Tamandua tetradactyla: one gene and its partner. The protein of the gene in region 2 purifies or fractionates together with the protein of the main gene of each other region. This does not show direct contact. Links are inferred from orthologs where the notes say so. Each region holds a gene or a part of one and is shown on either strand. Other genes may lie near its edges. The genes, in order: ALKBH8 and TRMT112.

Region 1 (9,262 bases), on a different chromosome or scaffold from region 2:
CAAGGTCCAGTGGACACCAGCCATGTGCCTTACCATATCAGCTCTCCTTGAGCCAAGTATCTTCCTCTAGATGCCTTACTTAGGACATAGTTATGGCCTTAGAACTGTAAACTTTTATTAAATTCCCTTTTTAAAAGCCATTCCGTTTCTGGTATATTGCTTTCTGGTAGCCAAACAAACCAATACACCAATTAATTGTTGGATTAGTCATTTTGTCTCAACAGACAAATTTAGGTCAGGGTTTCAAACCCCATACAGCATGGCACCCAGAAAACAGAAAAGTATTGAAACTATTATGTAACCCAGAAAAGCCACGTTCTAATCTTGATCCAATCTTGTGGGCCAGAACTATTGTTTAGGGTGGAACCTTTGATGAGATTGTTTTCGTGGAAATTGACCCACCCAATTGTGGTGTGATCTTTTGATTAGATTACTTCCATGGAGATTGGCACACCCAATTGTGTGTGTGGCCTTTTGATTAGATGGAGATGTTGCTCCACCCTTTCAAGGTGGGTCTTGGTTAGTTTACTGGAGTCCTTTAAAAGGGGAAACATTTTACAAATGCTTCAGAGCTGAAAGAGATGCCTGGAAACGTTGCTTCAGAGACAACAGAGACGCAGACATCTGAAGATGCTTGAAATACAAACAGAAATTTATTTGGAGATGAAGAGACCAGCAAACATCACCATGTGCCTTCACATGAGATGCTAAGCAAGTCAGAACCCAGAGCTGTGTGTCTGGAGGGGCTAAGTGAAGGGTCACAGATGCTTAGATAGGAGGCCATTGGAATCTGAACCTGGAAGCAATGGAACCAGGAATAAAGACCACCAGACACCAGCCACATGCATTCCCATGTGACAGACATCAGCCTTTCTTGAGTCAAGGTATCTTTCTCTGGATGCCTTAGTTTGGACATTTTTATGGCATTAGAACTGTAAACTTGTAACTTAATATATTCCCTTTTTAAAAGCCATTCCATTTCTGGTATATTGCATTCTGGCAGCATTTAACGAACTAAAACAGGTATAGCGGCCAGAACATAGGGGATTGTTCTGGAAGCAGGACTCGGCCTTAAAACCAGATCCAAAGTGGCTCGAACTGTCATATTTACTCCACCATCCACTTTTACCCTGATGACCTACTCCCCTAGTCAGATGTCAGGATATGGAACTAAAAATTATTTCTCCCCTTGAAGCTTTTTAAGTTGCTAAAAGTCTCTGGAGTGCCAGCAGAACAGAGAAACCCTGGTTGCCCAGCCTGTAGACTAAATACAGTCCAGCAGCTGCAAAAGACTTCGTTACTGTGGTCTGGGAGGCTCCAGAGCCTCAGGTATTGTCCCTTTTGAGGGTCACCAAATTGTTACCAAAGTGGTGGATTCTTTTGCTCTATGTGCCCAAATGACCTATTCCTGAGACACTGGGGTTTCAAGGAGAGAAAAAGTTTATTACTGGGCACTTAGCAGGAGATCAGATGCCTGTCAGCCCAAGAGCTGTCTCCCCAAACTGTAATTCTTATAGTTTTATAGCATTAAAAGATAGGTAGGCTTTAGGATAATAAGCACAATGGCCCCAGATGATGTAATTTGAGGTGACTTAATTATTGAGCATGTGCAGATTGATGGCATGCTTAGTCATAGAACATATGGAAGAAAATGGTGGCCTTATTATAATGATGGGTGTGATTCTTAGTATTACAATGAGTATTACAGGTGACTTACAGGTTAAAGTCTAAGCTACAGCACATGTCAGGTGGGCCCATTTTGGTTAGATCCAGACTCAGTTATCAAGATAACTTTGAACTTGGGGCGGATTAATTCTGGACTGACCTAGGACCCTTCATTAATCAGTATTAGGGGCTGTTTTTAGTTGTCAGAAGGCTCTAAAGTCCAAAGATTACATAAATGGATACAAATGAATTTTAGCCACAAGGGTTTTACAATTACAGGGCACAAGATGAAGGCTATACAATCATTATAAAAGATGAAGGTAGCTAGATTACAATGCAAAAAATTCAGGTAATTCCTTCTGTCTACTCTAATACACCAGAAAGCAAAAAGGAATATCTATACAATAATTCATTAATAAAATTATCCCTTGAATGCCAATTTCTTGGTTACAGTAAGATTTATTTCTGTCTTTACAGTCTTTTTAGTGCATTGCCCATGATGTGCATCACATTTTGGTTTAATGCTTATTCAATAATACAACTGTTCTTTCTCTTTTACCTTTTAGAGAGGTAGACGAAGGTTGGCAGGAGATTTTATTTTTAATTGTGTTTCCCTGACACCAGAAAGAAGAGGGTCCAGGGGTTGGCAAACTAGCCCATGGGCCAAATCCTGGAAGCATAAACTCTTACAACCAAGAATATTTTTTTACATTTTTAAAGGGTTGTAAAAACAAGCAAACACAGAAGACATGGACAACAACAAAAAACCCAAAGAAGAATGTGTGACAGAGACCACATATGGTGTATTAGGGTTCTCTAGAGAAACAGAACCAACAGGAGAGATCTGTAAATATGAGATCTGTAAAGGTGTCTCATGCAAACATGGCAATGGAAGAGTCCAAAATCCTTATGGCAGGCTGTGAAGCTGGTGGTTCCAATGAAGGATCTGGACAAATTCCACAGGAGAGGCTTGCTGGCTGAAGAAGCAGTGAAAGAGTCTCTCTTCTTCCTTAAAAGCCTTCAACTGATTACACTATATCATTGTGGGAGATACGCCTTAGTTGATCGTAAATGTAATTAGCCACAGCTGCAATCAACTGACTGCAATCAACCAGCCATGGAATATCCTTGCAGCAATGGTCAGGCCAATGCTTGCCTGACCAGGCATGTGGGCAAAATTACTTGGCCAATTTGACAGCAGAACCTAACCATCAAATATGGCAATGCTGACTCTTGCACTAGTTAACCAAGGGCTCAGGTATCATGGGTTTTACAAAGACAAGACACACTAGGTTCACAGTTAATACCATTGAAAAATTATTACAGGACCCTGTGCAAAATTTTTCACATGTGAAGATGAATTCTATCTTCAAATTAAATTTCTTTCCAGTTCAATATGTATTGAATTCCTATTATTACAAGCCTACGGAAGACAAGGGTTACAAAGTGAATAAGACAGGATCTTAACATAGCTGAAAATTCCTCCAGGGAGTCATCTTTGCTGGGAGCACTAGCCCGTGCAAAACTCCAAGCAAAAGACAAGGATCTGTATAAAAAGGATTATATGCAAAAGTTTTAATGTATCCACCTTTTTCTAAGGATATGGAGGAGGAGATGGGCAGCAGGTGTTTGGTAATGTGGGCCTGTACCTTAGGAGCAGAAGAGGAGAGAAGGAATAAATAACCATTTAATAGCTACTTTATGTATAGTATTTTATTTAATTATCACAGCAATTCCAAAAGGTAAATGCTGTTTTGTATTTTCTATTTCAGGTCACACTCCAATGCCCAAGTTCTTTCCACTAAACCAAACTGCCACCTAAAGGGTAGTCAGGACTAAACATATAGAAAGATTAGGGATTGATTCACAAACCTCTTTAAAATCCTGGGAGGCAGTTGGAAAGACTGTAGACTGAAAAAGGAGTCAAACAGAAAACATGAGGTATTGTCTGTGTTTATCTATAGCCATAAGGAGGGAAGATAGTAAAAAAGACTGAAAACAAGTAGTCAGAAGTAGGAGAGAGTGTTTTTACGAAGACTAACAAACTCAAAAGTTTCAAAAAGAAGTAGATTGAAAGTTTAAAAAGCTTCAGCATCTTCAAGTAGGATGGATACCTAAAGTAACAGAATTTGGCAACCAGAGATAACTGATGGTATTTTACAATGTTATCCAATTCAGTAGCCACTAGCCACGTGTGACTATTTAAACTTACATGAATTAATACTAAATAAAATTTTAAAAATTCAGATTCGGTTTTCTCAGTTTCACCAGCCATATTTCAAGTTCTCAATAGCTATTGGCTATTGTTATCATATTGGACAGCTTGGAGTATAAAACACCGGAGAAAATTCTTACTGAAATGTGCTGTGTTTGAAAGTATCCAGTAGCATTGAAAGACTGCAACAGTTTTCCCCTCATCCCTGTTCAGTAGGTTCCCATGTCTGGTTGAGTCCACCTCTCCAATTTGCTCTATCCTCTTCACTTTTGCTATTCAGTTTTGTCTCCATCCTCTCTTTCGTGGACTACTGCTATGGCTGCCTAATAGGCCTCCAAACTTCTGGCCTTTCTAATCTATTCTCCCCACAAATCAGTCCTCCTTTTAACTTTCTAGCCAGTACCAACCAGCCTTAACCTTTATTATTTGTCTCAGTGGGAGCGCGCTCGGGCGTGCGTGTGTGTGATCACTGTAGCAGCAGGGAGAACTCCCTGCTGGGAGAACTCCCCCCTCCCTTTCCAATTTCCCTTCCTTTGAACTCACAAAGCTCAAAATCTAATGCTAGTGGAATGACAATGCATTTATATCACACGAATAATCTTAGGGTAGGAACAATCACTATCATCACCCTCTCGTGCATTTTTATTTCCAATCTGTCGTCAAATCTTTTTCCTTTTAATCCGCCAATGGCGTGCCCTAGTTAACATTTCGTTACTTTTCACTTTACCATCGCAATAACCTGCTAAATAGTCTTCTTACTTCTAGCTTTTCCTTCCACCTTCCTCCAGAAATTCCATTTCCCGGGTCAGGTCACAACTCATCTCCCTCCTTCCCCAGAGATGCCATCTCTCAGACCCCAGGGGTCTCTCTCCCCATCTCTAAGATGTACAAAGAGCACAACGGAAGACAATTATTGAGGGATCAAGGTTGATGGGAAAAACAAACCTGTTTGACCCTGTTCATTTTGTAAGCTACCGATAAAAATATAATGAATTCCCAAGCATTACTATTTTTTTTCCAATAAAACGGCTGTAAATGAGAACATGACACCGGGCAAGGGCTCTTGGTCACGAAAGGTTCAAAAGAGTTCTGTGGGTGGCGAATGGGATTGTGGGAGCACGCTTCCTCACCCTGCTGATTCCTGGGAAATGTAGTGCAGTTTTTCTCCAACATGGCTGCGCCCAGGTGAGGCGGAGTGTGAGAATTCCCCGCGTCTTTCTACCACTAACATAAAGATGCTGGCGACTGCGAGAGTATCCGCGGGTGAGAACCCGGCATGGTGAATACGGAGATTTGTGGTACTTTTTCATGGCTGGCGCGATGGAGCCGTAAGTCACCGCTTCCTCTGTCAGCGTCTTCCGGACTGTTGTGCTTTGCCGGCTTGAGGATGAGAATATAATGAGGGAAGGAATGGCCCCCGGGACTCTCTCTCTTGCGGTCCGTGGAAGGTAGTTTGCCAGCACTGGGTGGTCCTATAACTGTTTGAGATACACATGGTTGGGTACTGTGCGGCTGCTCACTGTGAATCTTTTTCTTTGAGGTTGGGAACGGACTGTTGCATCCTGGGGCGTGTTAGTCGGTCGCTTATGGGGCTCATCTGACCGGTGTCAATCCAGTGAAGCAAGGGCATCACTGTTGGCCAGATCGCCCACAGCTGAGTCTTCCAGTGCTCTTACTTGAGTAATTCCTTCAACCATTGGGCCCCTAGTGTGTCAACCTCTGCTACTAATTGATTTCATTTGACGAACATGTATTGAGTGCTTGCTGTTCACCAGGTACTCTGTTAGGGGTTAGAGGTTGTATTTTCTCTCAGGTCTTTGCTTTCAAGTAGATGACAGCCTTCTGGGGGAGACCAACACACAAGCAGGTAATTATAATACAGTGTGAGTACTATAGAGTTAGAGATACACATCCCTTAATTAATGAAACCATTGAGGAGTGTTGCCAAAATAATTTTGGAGGAGGAAGGGCTTAGGAGGTAAGATGGTGAGTTCAAATTTGGCATATTCAATAAAAGTTGTTGAGTGACTACGAGGTCCAAGAACCTGTGTGGGTGCTGGGGCTACAAAATGAACAATACAGACAAAATCCCCTCGTGGAGCTTATTGTCTGGTTAGAGGGGGAAGGTAGAGAATAAACAAATAATGAGGGCGTAAGAAAATACATAGCATTCTTTAGAGAGTTCTTTAGAGAGTTTAAAAACAGGGTGACATGACAAGTGATGGGGTGAATGTTTTCTCATCATTTAAAACATTTTTCTTTTTAAATAGGTAATGCATTTTGAATAGCTACTAAATTCAAAAGTTAAAAGAGGAAATTCTTTCGTTCCTGTTCTCCATCCACCTATTGTGTCTCCCTCGAGACAGCCCATATTACCAATTTCTTGCGTGACTTAGTTTCCCTTTATATAGCTTTATATGAATATGTGCTGTTATTTATAATCAGGCCTCATTTGATAGGAATTTAGGTTCTTTCTGATCTTTGCTATTAAATATAATTTACATATAAACACAGGAACATTTGTTTCACCTATTCGCCTATACTACTTGGTTCATAGTAGGCTTTCCGTTGGTGTGGAGAATGTGGATGTGCAAACTACTGTTGCCTTTCAGGGCAATATTCAAAATATTCCATAGAATTTATTAAACTTAGCAAGCAAGTAGCAAAGCATGCATGATCCCCAAACTCTCATAACGTCACAGAGAATATGCTTAGGCTGGACATGGCTATTATGGACTCAGCATGGCTAGTATTTTAGTAAATAGTGATCTCACTCCCATAACATACCCTAACACTCTATTACATGACAAATAACATCTAATCATTTGTGCAACAGTAGAAACTCCCTGGTCGGGGACGCCACCTTTTTAGAAAGGGAAATCCTCCAGACCTCAAGCTGGTGTCAGCCTGTTCCTTTGTTGAGGTGACTCAGACCTGCCAGGCCAGTGCATTTCCAAGTCACTGATTGGGGAAGAAATGAGCCTCCAAGTGAAATTTGGATTTGTCTTTCTTCACATGCAGCTCCATCTGCTGGTAGTTGGATTCTTGGCAGCGGGCTTTTAAAAGATGTATTCATCATTTTTCCATTCTCATTTCCACTTTGCAGTTACTGCTCTTGTGAAATATTAAGAAAAAATTCCATAGTGTATTTATCTCTCGCTCTCCAAAATATACTGCAAAATTGCCTTTCCAAAGAAGATGATCTTGGAATTGGATGACTATAAAATAGCTCCTTTGAAGGCCCTCAGTTTTTTCTTTTTTTTTCCTTAACCATTTGGATCTGGCTCTTCTGGAAATTAACAGTAATATATTAATAGATGTATTTATTCCTAATAAAGCTATGAGGTAGGCACTATTATTGTTATCCCTGTTTTACATATGAAGAAACTGAAGCACTAAGATGTTAAGTAACTAACTCATCAGGATATACAGCTAATAGTGGTGGATCTGAGATTTGAACCTAGAGTCTGAACTCGTAAACACTGTTATAATATCTCATAGTACTGAATGAGGCTCTGGGGAAACAAAGAAAAATGTTATTTAATCCCTGTCATCAAGGAGGTCATGATCCGGTGGAAAGGAACAGACATTAGAACAAATTATTATAATTAGTCCATTGTTAGAAATATCCATTCGTTTGTCCTCTTCCTGTCTAATCATTCTTAAAGCCTTTCTAACTTCAATTCCCCTCCTGAGAGCCACTTCATATTGTCAACTGCCAACCAGATATTGCAACTGTATACCTGGTCAGTATCTCCAACATGTTATATCTTAAATCTGACCTAACCTCCCTTTCAGAATAGCTCTTCCTGTCTTTCCAGTTTAAAAATGACATCAACTAATCTCTGTCATTCAGGCTCCAACCTAGAAAGTCATCTTTGGTTGCTCTCTTCCTCACTTCTGAGTAGTCATCAAGGCCTATTTATTCTACTTTACCACTTCCCCTCCCTCTACGGTTTCTTTTTTTCCTGCTGCTTCTCCCTTGGATCTGGCCTGCATTTTTGCTTGCCAAGTCGTATTATTGCAGTTCCCCTTACCTCTCGTCTGCCTACTATGCTTTTCAGCTAGCCTACTTTACCAGCTCTATTTCTTATCACTTGCACCCTGTGTGTTAGTTAAGCTAGGCAGCTGGCTGTTCTTTCAATAGGCTTGGCATTTTTTTTCTGTAAAGATTTGTAATTAGAGTTTTATCTGTGAACTGTTTTAGACTGTGATTTTGTTTAACCCTCTAAATTTATTTTGTTTGTTAACCCTAAAGACTTTGAAGTATATAGAGATTGGGTCAGCAAACATTCTCTGCTCTAAAAAATTATACCTACCCCTTACAATCTTTGCCATACATCCAATCCTGGTTTGGGCTTCTGCTTTTTATTGCCTCACTAGATACCTTCCCTTTCATATGACTCTATATTCTTATCTTTTAGTACTCAGCCCAAGTCCCTTTAAGTTTTGAAATCTTTCTAAACTTTTCCAGTTAATAATAATCTTATTTTTTGTTTTTAATTCCTCACACCTAAAGACTTTATCATTAACATTTCATTTTATAAACTTGTGTCATATTCTTATACCTTGTTTAATGTTTGTTTTCTTCAACTAAGTTAAAAAGTTGTTGAAAGCATAAACTTGTCTTATAGTTGTAATCTGCAGAATTTTGAAACCATAATAGGCATGTGTGTATTCACTCGTTTGTCATTCATTTATCCTTTTAAATATATTTGGATTAAACACCTACAGTGTGCTGGTGTTCCTCTTCTCTTGGAATTTGCATCTTGATGGGAGAATAAACCTGGTAATTGAATCATCACAAATTGTGTTAAATTCAGTGAACAAAATAAAATCTATTGTGACAAAGAATGATGTAAGGATGCTGGTTTGAATGGGGTGGTTAAGAAGACGACGTCCTTGGGAAACCACTCAGTAACTACTTGTTCATTTAAATATTCCAGTTAAGTGAAAATAATTCTATGGGGCTTTTATTTCTGCTATTTTCTAAATTATAGAAAAAGTAATAAAACAGACTCCAATACCTACCATCTAGCTTAATACCTTTGGTGTTTCTATGTGTCCCTTTCATATTATATTCCTTTTTCTTCTCCACAGAAATTTTATGTTTATAATTTCCTTGCTTTTCTTTTTAGTTGTACTGTTTATGTATGTATAACAATATATGGCTTACTTTTGGATAATGTTGAACTTTGTGTAGATGAAATATACTGTATATTCTGTGAATTGTTTTTTGTTTTATTTATTTATTTATTTAGCATAACATTATATTTGTGAAATCCTCTGTGGAATGTTTTACCTGCTATTTCATAAGTAAAGAGATGCAAGTTTTATGGGTGAAACAGCTCACTTAATAATGGAACTAAAGTATTGGAAAGT
Region 2 (7,837 bases):
CGTGTGGATGGAGGTGCTGGTGCTGGGCGTGGCCCAGCGCTCGCTGCCGCTGCAGGATGAGCTGGCCTTCGCGGAGGACTTGGTCCTGGATGAAGAGGGAGCACGGGCAGCTGGCCTGGGGGAGCTGGGGGCTGCCCTCCTGCAACTGGTGCGGCGGCTACAGGCCCTGAGGCTCGAGCGGGAGGAATACGTTCTGCTGAAGGCCCTGGCCCTGGCCAACTCGGGTGAGAGTCTGGAGCAGGCACTGATAGGTCTCTCCATTGGGCCCTCTGGTCTTTAACTCTGATAGCACAGCCCGTTCTGCAGATAAAGGAAACTGCAGCTCAGGGAACAGTGACTTCCTGAAGGTCACGAAGTAAGCCAAGGGCAAGGCCAAGAATCTGAGCCTTAGTACTGTGCTCACTTGGAAGGGAGTACAGTTTAGTGGGAGGTGAAGTGGGGAGGACTGGAGGCAGCTATAGGTGAGGACAGATGGCCCCTGCTCTTTCTGGAGATGGTGCAAGTCAACAGTTCTCTCCCCTCTGCTTACAGACTCTGTGCACATCGAGGACGCTGAGGCTGTGGAGCAGCTGCGAGAAGCCCTGCATGAGGCCCTGCTGGAGTATGAAGCTGGCCGGGCAGGCCCTGGAGGGGGTGCTGAGCGGCGACGGGCAGGCAGACTGCTGCTCACCCTACCGCTCCTTCGCCAGACCGCGGGCAAAGTGCTGGCCCATTTCTATGGGGTGAAGCTGGAGGGCAAGGTGCCCATGCACAAGCTGTTCTTGGAGATGCTCGAGGCCATGATGGACTGAGGCAGGGGGAGGGTGTGGGTGGGTGGGGGTGCTGGCAGGACCCGCCCAGCATGGGTTCAACCCCAAGGGGGCAGAGCTGGGGTCTGGGCAGTGCCACAGCCTGCTGGCAGGGCCAGGGCAATGCCATCAGCCCCTGGGAGCAGGCCCCACGCCCTCCCCTCCCCACTCCCAGGGGGCGTCAGAAGCTGGGGATGTGTGTGCCCGGGCTCTGGGCACAGTGCTGCCCCTTGCAAGCCATAATGTGCCCCCAGACTGTCGGGGGCCTTGCGGAAGCCATAGGGGGTGCAGGGGAATTGTGGGGGGCAGAAGCCTGATCTCAGGGAGGGAAGGGGGTGGAGGCCACAGTCTCCCAGTGGGTGATGCTTTTGCTGCTACTTAATCCAACCCCCTCTACAGAGCAGAGTGGGACTTGGAGAGCAAAGGCCCCTGCCCCCTTCGCTCCTCTCCTCATCATTTGCGTTGGGCACTGTTGCCCACCCCCCTTGAAGCAATAACTCCAAGCAGGCTCCAGCCCCTGGACCCCCTAGGGTGGCCAGGGTCCCCCATCAGCTCCCACCCAGCCTCCTCAGGGGGAGGGAGAGCACTGCCTCGATGCCCTGCAGAGCAATAACACTATATTTATTTTTGGGTTTGGCCAGGGAGGCGCAGGGACATGGGGCAAGCCAGGGCCCAGTGCCCTTGGCTGTACAGAGACTCTATTTTAATGTATATTTGCTGCAAAGAGAAACCGCTTTTGGTTTTGAACCTTTAATGAGAAAAAATATATATAATATCAAGCTCAAGAACACAGTGTGTTCAGTGTGTCATTGGGTCGAGGGCTGGACATGAACATGACAGTTAACAATGTACAGACATAAAGAATGTCACAGAATGATCAGCTGGTCCGTGCCTGGCATGGCTAGGTCTAGGTTTCCTCCTCACTCAGCAGCATGTTGGGGATCCCGCGACTGATGGGGAACAGACGTCCAGATTCTGGGCATTGCAGAGTGCCCTCCAACACATCCACCTGTGGGCAGAGGGAAAACAGCTGAACACCTGGGCCCTAAGGGAGGGGTGGCATGGCCGGGAAAGCAAAGTGTGAGCCGGTTCTCACCTCTAGCAACACGTGGTGCATCTTCCTCAAAAATGTCTCATCTCGCTCATACCCCTCAACTGGTCCCTTGGGCACCTCGACCAGATGCAACTGTGGGCAAGAAGCCTAAATCATCTCCGGCCATCCCCGACCCTCCCCATCAGGCCGAGCTCCCGGGCCGGGTGTGAGAGGGTGCGGTGAGACCACCTCCCCCGCTAGGCACAGGCGGGGTGGGGGGAGGGTCCTCACAGTATCGGCCGCCTCCAGAAGCGCTGCCCACTCCACCTTGGGTATCATACGCGCTACGAAGTCCGGGTTGAACTCCACCGGGTTGATGCGGACCTCGGTGGCCTGCAGTGGGAAGAGATTAGTTAGAAAGGGGATCGGACTCTGATATCCGCAGCTCACCCGGGAGAGGGGCGTGGGTCTGCGCGGATCGGTACCTGGAGACGCAGGGGGAAGCCACGGGGCCCCACCCCCCGCACGTGAGAGCTTAGCAGGTTGTGAGTGAGCAGCTTCATGTCGCGGCTAAACGTCCTACCCAGGCAGGAACCGGAAATATACCGCCCCGCCAAAACGTCACTTCCGGGACGGTGCCGCTAGCTAGCCTATCGGGCGGCCAAAAGACCGGAAGCAGCGAAACTGCTGTCAGGGCTCGTGCTCGGCCAAGCAGAGACATAGGGAAGACCTGGTTCAGTCACGCGCTGCTCCCGGAAGCGGCTCCGCGGGAGATCGTTATGTCGCACGCCGCCTAGTGGTTTGGTTGAAGCCAAACCTTCACCCGCTATCGGGATGCAAATTATATGTAAAACAGCTGCAGTGCAGGGAACCTCGTTAAATGTCAGATAGACATGCGTTTTGCTTGTGCACGGGCTCCTGACACCAGCCCTCCCCTTCTAATGAGGTGCGCTATTGCCCCAACTATAAATGAGGCCCCTCAAAATAAAGCGGCACCCCATCCTTGTCTGCAAAGAACCTGCAGGATCGTCGCGAGCTACGCCCACTGAGAGGGGGAGAAGGTATCAGCGACCCAGCCCCTAATGCAAACAAGCCCTGAATCCCGGAAGCCCGGCCCGCAGCGCGGCCGTCCACGCCTGCGCAGTGAGGGCGTTTCGCTGGGGGCCGGGCGCGGCCGAGGCTCCGCCTTCTGCGGCCGGCGCGGCTCCGCCCCCGCCGGGGTCGAAGGGGCGGTCGCGGCCGTGGCGCCCGGCGAGTGGCTGCGTATGCTGCGCCTTGTGGGGCGCCGCGCGAACTCCGCGCTCCCTCGGGCGACCGCCGTCGAGTTTACCCGAGCGGTAGCGGTGGGAACGGGCCTACGCCTGGAAGGAGGAGGAGGGTGCACGTGCGGTTTCAGCAGCGCCGCCGCAGCCATGGCGCCGATTAAGGTGACCGTCGGCCCCGTCAGACCTGACCCCCCCATCTTCCCGAGGCCGTCCCTCGTCCCGCTCCGGTGGGGAAGGTGGGGTCCTCTCTCCCGCCCTCCGGAGCCCTCTCCGCCGCCCCAGAGGTCCCTCCCGCGGTCCAGCCCCTTCACCCCCTCATCGAGACACCCGTGACTGCCACCCCCTCTCGCCAAGTTTTGGGACCTCGTGCAGGATCTCCTGGAACAGCCTCCGGGCTCTGGACCCTCCCCCCTCGATTCCCGCTGCGTGTCGACTGCGACACTGCTGTGGTCTCCGCCATTTTCCGCTGTTTGAATGCCGTGGCCTTTCCCACCTTCTGGAAACCAACCATCTCCGTTGCCCCAGAACCCTCTTTACCCCGCCGCGCCACCCTCCCCTCCCTTTTGTCATATTGCTTGGATCACTCTTAATCGTATGGAACAGCTGTCAGCCCTTTGAGCCCTCGTTTTGTCTCCCCATGCCACTCCGATTTCCCCTCCTCCTCCTCCCGAGGCGATCCCCCACACTTCAGTTGAGTCTCTCCTCCCGCCCATCTTCTGGAGCTGTCCCCCACTCCTTGGAACTCAACCCCCTCTTCCCCTCCCACACCCTTCCGAGGCCCTTCGCCTTGTTTCACCATCCTCCAACCTACTGAGAGATCCTCCATCTCTCAGCCTCCCTTCCTCCTATCTTTACCTCCTCCATCCCCATGGAGCCCTCTCACATTCCCAGATGCACTGATCCCTCCCCCTTAAGAGATTCCTTTCATTTTACCCCCCTTGCATAGGGCCGGGATCTTCCCCTTCCCACCTTGTTACTGCCCTCCTGCCTTCCTTCCTTTTCTCCATGGCTGGCCAGGATCCATGCTTTCCCTGTTGTCCAGTATTCCTTCCAACCCAACAACCCCCTTCCCCCCTGCTTCTCCTCCCCTTGCGGGTTTGGCCCCACTCTTCTCCCATAACCCTTACAACTTGTTGACTCAATCCCTTGCGACACCGTGCAAGGCCTTCTCTCCCTTTCTTTGGTGTCACCAATGGATCCTTATGAGGGGACAGGGCCTCACTGACCCCTGGAGGATATGGGGCAACCAGGCGGGTGAGAGTCGGGGGGAAGGGGAGGGCAGCAGGGAGGGACCTCTGGAAACTCTGACAGGGCTGGACTTTTTTTCCCCCCGGGCTCTGCCAAGCACAGCCACCAGACCTCCCCCCATTCCCTCCTGGCTCTGGTTTGCTGCTGTCCCTCCTTGGGCCTCCCCCCACCTCTCAACTCCTAACCTTGGAGCCCTTCCCTCTAGGTGGGCGATGCCATCCCACCGGTGGAGGTGTTTGAAGGGGAGCCTGGGAACAAGGTGAACCTGGCGGAGCTGTACAGAGGCAAGAAGGGAGTGCTGTTTGGAGTCCCCGGGGCATTTACCCCGGGCTGCTCCAAGGTGAGGCCCTGCCCTTCTTGAGATTAGGAATCTGGATCTTTTGAAAATGTTTGCATTGCTTTTAAGTCCTTCACATATCCCTCCAAAGGCCTGAGGCGGCTTGCCACCAAGGAACCTAGGTAGCCTGAGAGTAAAAAAAAGCTATGTTTAGAGTGTTCAGAAAGTAAGTGGAGGCTGCAGAAAGGTAACCACAAGGAATGTAGGAGAAAGGAATTATTGTGATTAAGCTCAATACCCCCTTGTTGACCCTGCTGAGTGGCAGGTACTCTGAAAGGCAAATAATCCAGGTAAATAATCCATGTTTCTATGACTCCCAGGGGTGTGGACCTTCCTGGCAACGTGACACAGAAATCCCAGAATGAGCTGGAACTCAGCATCAAGGGACTGAGAAAATCTTCTCAACCAAAAGGGGGAAGAGTGAAATGAGACAAAATAAAGTGTCAATGGCTGAGAGATTCCAAACAGAGTTGAGAGGTTATCCTGGAGGTTATTCTTGCATTAAGTAGATATCACCTTGTTATCCAAGATGTAACAGAGAGGCTGGAGGAACCTGCCTGAAAATGTAGAGCTGTGTTCCAGTAGCCATGTTTCTTGAGGATGATTGTATAATGATATAGCTTTCGCAATGTGACTGTGTGATTGTGAAAACCTTTATCTGATGCTCCGTTTATCTAACTTATCAACAGAAGAGTAAAAAACATGTGGAATAAAGATAAGTAATAGGGGGAACAAATGTTAAAATAAATTTAGATTGAAATGCTAGTGATCAGTGAAAGGGAGGGGTAAGGGGTATGGTATGTATGATTTTTTTTCTGTTGCCTTTTTATTTCTTTTTCTGAATTAATGCAGATGTTCTAAGAAATGATCATGATGATGAATATGCAACTATGTGATGATATTGTGAATTACTGATTATATATGTAGAATGGAATAATCATAAATTAAGAACGTTTGCATTTGTTTGTTGTTACATATATTTTTTTAAATTAAAAAATTGAAAAAAAAATCCGTGGTCCTGACCCCACAACCTTAAGTTTGGATCTGAGCTTCCTTGTGGCCAAGGCAAACAAGGAAATAGGTTGGTTTACATAGTTTTCGTTGATTAAAGGAGTCAAAGCAGGGAAGTTAGGGGGGCCTGAAGATCATTCCTTGTTGACCCTTAGTTTCTCCTCCCCAGACGCACCTGCCGGGGTTTGTGGAGCAGGCTGGGGCTATGAAGGCCAAGGGCATCCAAGTGGTGGCATGTCTGAGTGTCAATGATGTCTTTGTGACTGGCGAGTGGGGGCGAGCCCACAACGTGGATGGCAAGGTAAGGTGCAGGGGTCCTGAAGGGGCTCAGGGCCCAAGCAGGAGATTTTTCTGGTGACCTTTATTTTCTGTCTCCCCAGGTTCGTCTCCTGGCTGACCCTTCTGGGGCCTTTGGGAAGGTGAGTACACGCCGTCCCCCCACTACAGCGTGGTTCCTCTGCCAGGTCTTGGAAGCAGAGATTTGGAGGGACTTGACCAGTGTGGGGAGCAGCCCCCTTGGGGCTTCCTGATCCTTTTCTCTATCTTCCCTCCCAGGAGACGGATTTGTTACTAGATGATACGTTGGTGCCACTCTTTGGGAATCGTCGGCTCAAGAGGTAAAAGTGAGAGGGTGTTCTGTGGGGTTCATTGGGGCCCTCTCCTCCTATTCCGGTCTCTGGGCCTGACTTTTTTGGCCTCCCTTCCGGCAGGTTCTCCATGGTGATAGAGGATGGCGTGGTGAAGGTCCTAAACGTGGAGCCGGATGGCACAGGCCTCACCTGCAGCCTGGCCCCCAATATCCTCTCGCAGCTCTGAGGCCCCCCCGGCCCAGATACACCCTCTTTACCCTTTCCTTGACTTATCTACTTAGCTGCAGCTGGGGCTACCCAATTGGAACCTTGGCCAGATTTGTGCAATAAACACTTCTGGGTCACATCCACTTCCTTGTTTTTGAATCTCTGCTGTACTGAGAGCCTGACTTCATGACTACAATTGAGAGCTGGAATGACAGTGGGCAGGTGTGGAAGGAGAAAACAACTGGATTCCCATTTAAATAAGGAGGTTGTCAGGGAAAGCCTCTGAAAGAAGGTGTTACGAAGCATCGATCTAGAAGCTAAAAAAGAGCCAGTGGTCCGAAAAGCAAGGGCAGGAACGTTCCATGCAGAGAGAAGCCACAGGGAAAGGCTTGTGTGCATAAGTTGGGTGCACACCCTTAACGTTGGATGTGCATCTCAGGGTGCTCGCTGGTGTCATTTGGGTCTATAAACTGTAGGGAAAGAACCTCAGCTCTGGGTCTCCCATCTGGGCCGAGCCCCACCCCGCCAACCTTTCAGACTGTTACATACCTTCTGAAAGCACCGTCTTTCCAGGAGGGGCCCCTTGCACTCTGGGAGAGTGACTGACAGGAAGGATTCCTTCTTGGAGGCAGGGCTCGTCCAGTCCAGGAGGGCTCCCTGGGAGAGGAATCTGGAGGTGAGCTGTGCAAGAGTGGAGATGCTCATGGGGCGGGCCCAGTGCTCACAGGGAGGGGCCGGGGCTCCTCCGCAGGTACTGTATGGAGAGCTGGGCAGATGGTAGGAATGCAGCTCCAGGTAGAGGGCGCAGCGTGGATGTAGGCGTGTGAGCTGGGAGGAGAGAGGCTGCTGGAGGTCAGCGGGACCCTTCAGGCCCTGGTAAGCGGCTTGCCTTTCATCCTTAGGGCGCCTGAGGCTACTGAAGGGTCTTAAGCTGGGCAATGGCAGGTCCAGTTGGCACTTAGCCTGACATTGGATGCAGTGTTGGGGTGGTCTGAGCTGGGAGGTGGGGAGAGGTATGAAGTGGGCAGCGTAGGGAAGGTGTGACAAAATGAGGGCACCAGGATTTAGAGGTCTTTAGGATGTGAGAGTCCAGGAGCCACCTGGGTGGGGGCCCAAGGGGCTGAGGGGGGGGGGGTCAGAGCACTCAGGAGGAGGGTGGGTCGGCTTCCCTTTTGGGGGTCCCAGGTGCTCAGTGTGCCCGTGTCGTCCCACCCACTGACCTGTGTCCCTCTCACCCCCTGCTGTCTTCCAGGTGCCCTTGACCTGGGCAGGGCAGCTCCCTGTGCCTTTCTAACCTGCCCACCTCTCTTCCTCTGCCAACCCCCCAGTTGCTGAGTTCCTTCCGCCTTTTCCCTGCA

What was found.
Region 1: the proteins of TRMT112 (region 2) and ALKBH8 purify together in Homo sapiens (co-immunoprecipitation; 3 studies listed by IntAct, with this or other methods). This does not show direct contact. The link is inferred for Tamandua tetradactyla from reciprocal best matches to the Homo sapiens genes TRMT112 and ALKBH8.

The regions. Positions count from the first base shown.
Region 1 is NC_135334.1:34,346,166-34,355,427, forward strand, and holds the start of ALKBH8 (tRNA (carboxymethyluridine(34)-5-O)-methyltransferase ALKBH8), read left to right. Parts: upstream 1-5,237; 5' UTR 5,238-5,278; coding exon 5,279-5,328; intron 5,329-5,341; exon of another isoform or gene 5,342-5,747; intron 5,748-9,262.
Region 2 is NC_135335.1:10,337,344-10,345,180, reverse strand, and holds TRMT112 (multifunctional methyltransferase subunit TRM112-like protein), read right to left. Parts: upstream 2,441-7,837; 5' UTR 2,385-2,440; coding exon 2,307-2,384; intron 2,215-2,306; coding exon 2,113-2,214; intron 1,975-2,112; coding exon 1,885-1,974; intron 1,798-1,884; coding exon 1,696-1,797; 3' UTR 1,523-1,695; downstream 1-1,522. Other genes in the region: ESRRA (steroid hormone receptor ERR1), read left to right, coding at 1-224, 532-791; PRDX5 (peroxiredoxin-5, mitochondrial), read left to right, coding at 3,087-3,248, 4,540-4,674, 5,852-5,983, 6,063-6,101, 6,238-6,299, 6,393-6,498. UniProt on the Homo sapiens protein: Acts as an activator of both rRNA/tRNA and protein methyltransferases. Together with methyltransferase BUD23, methylates the N(7) position of a guanine in 18S rRNA.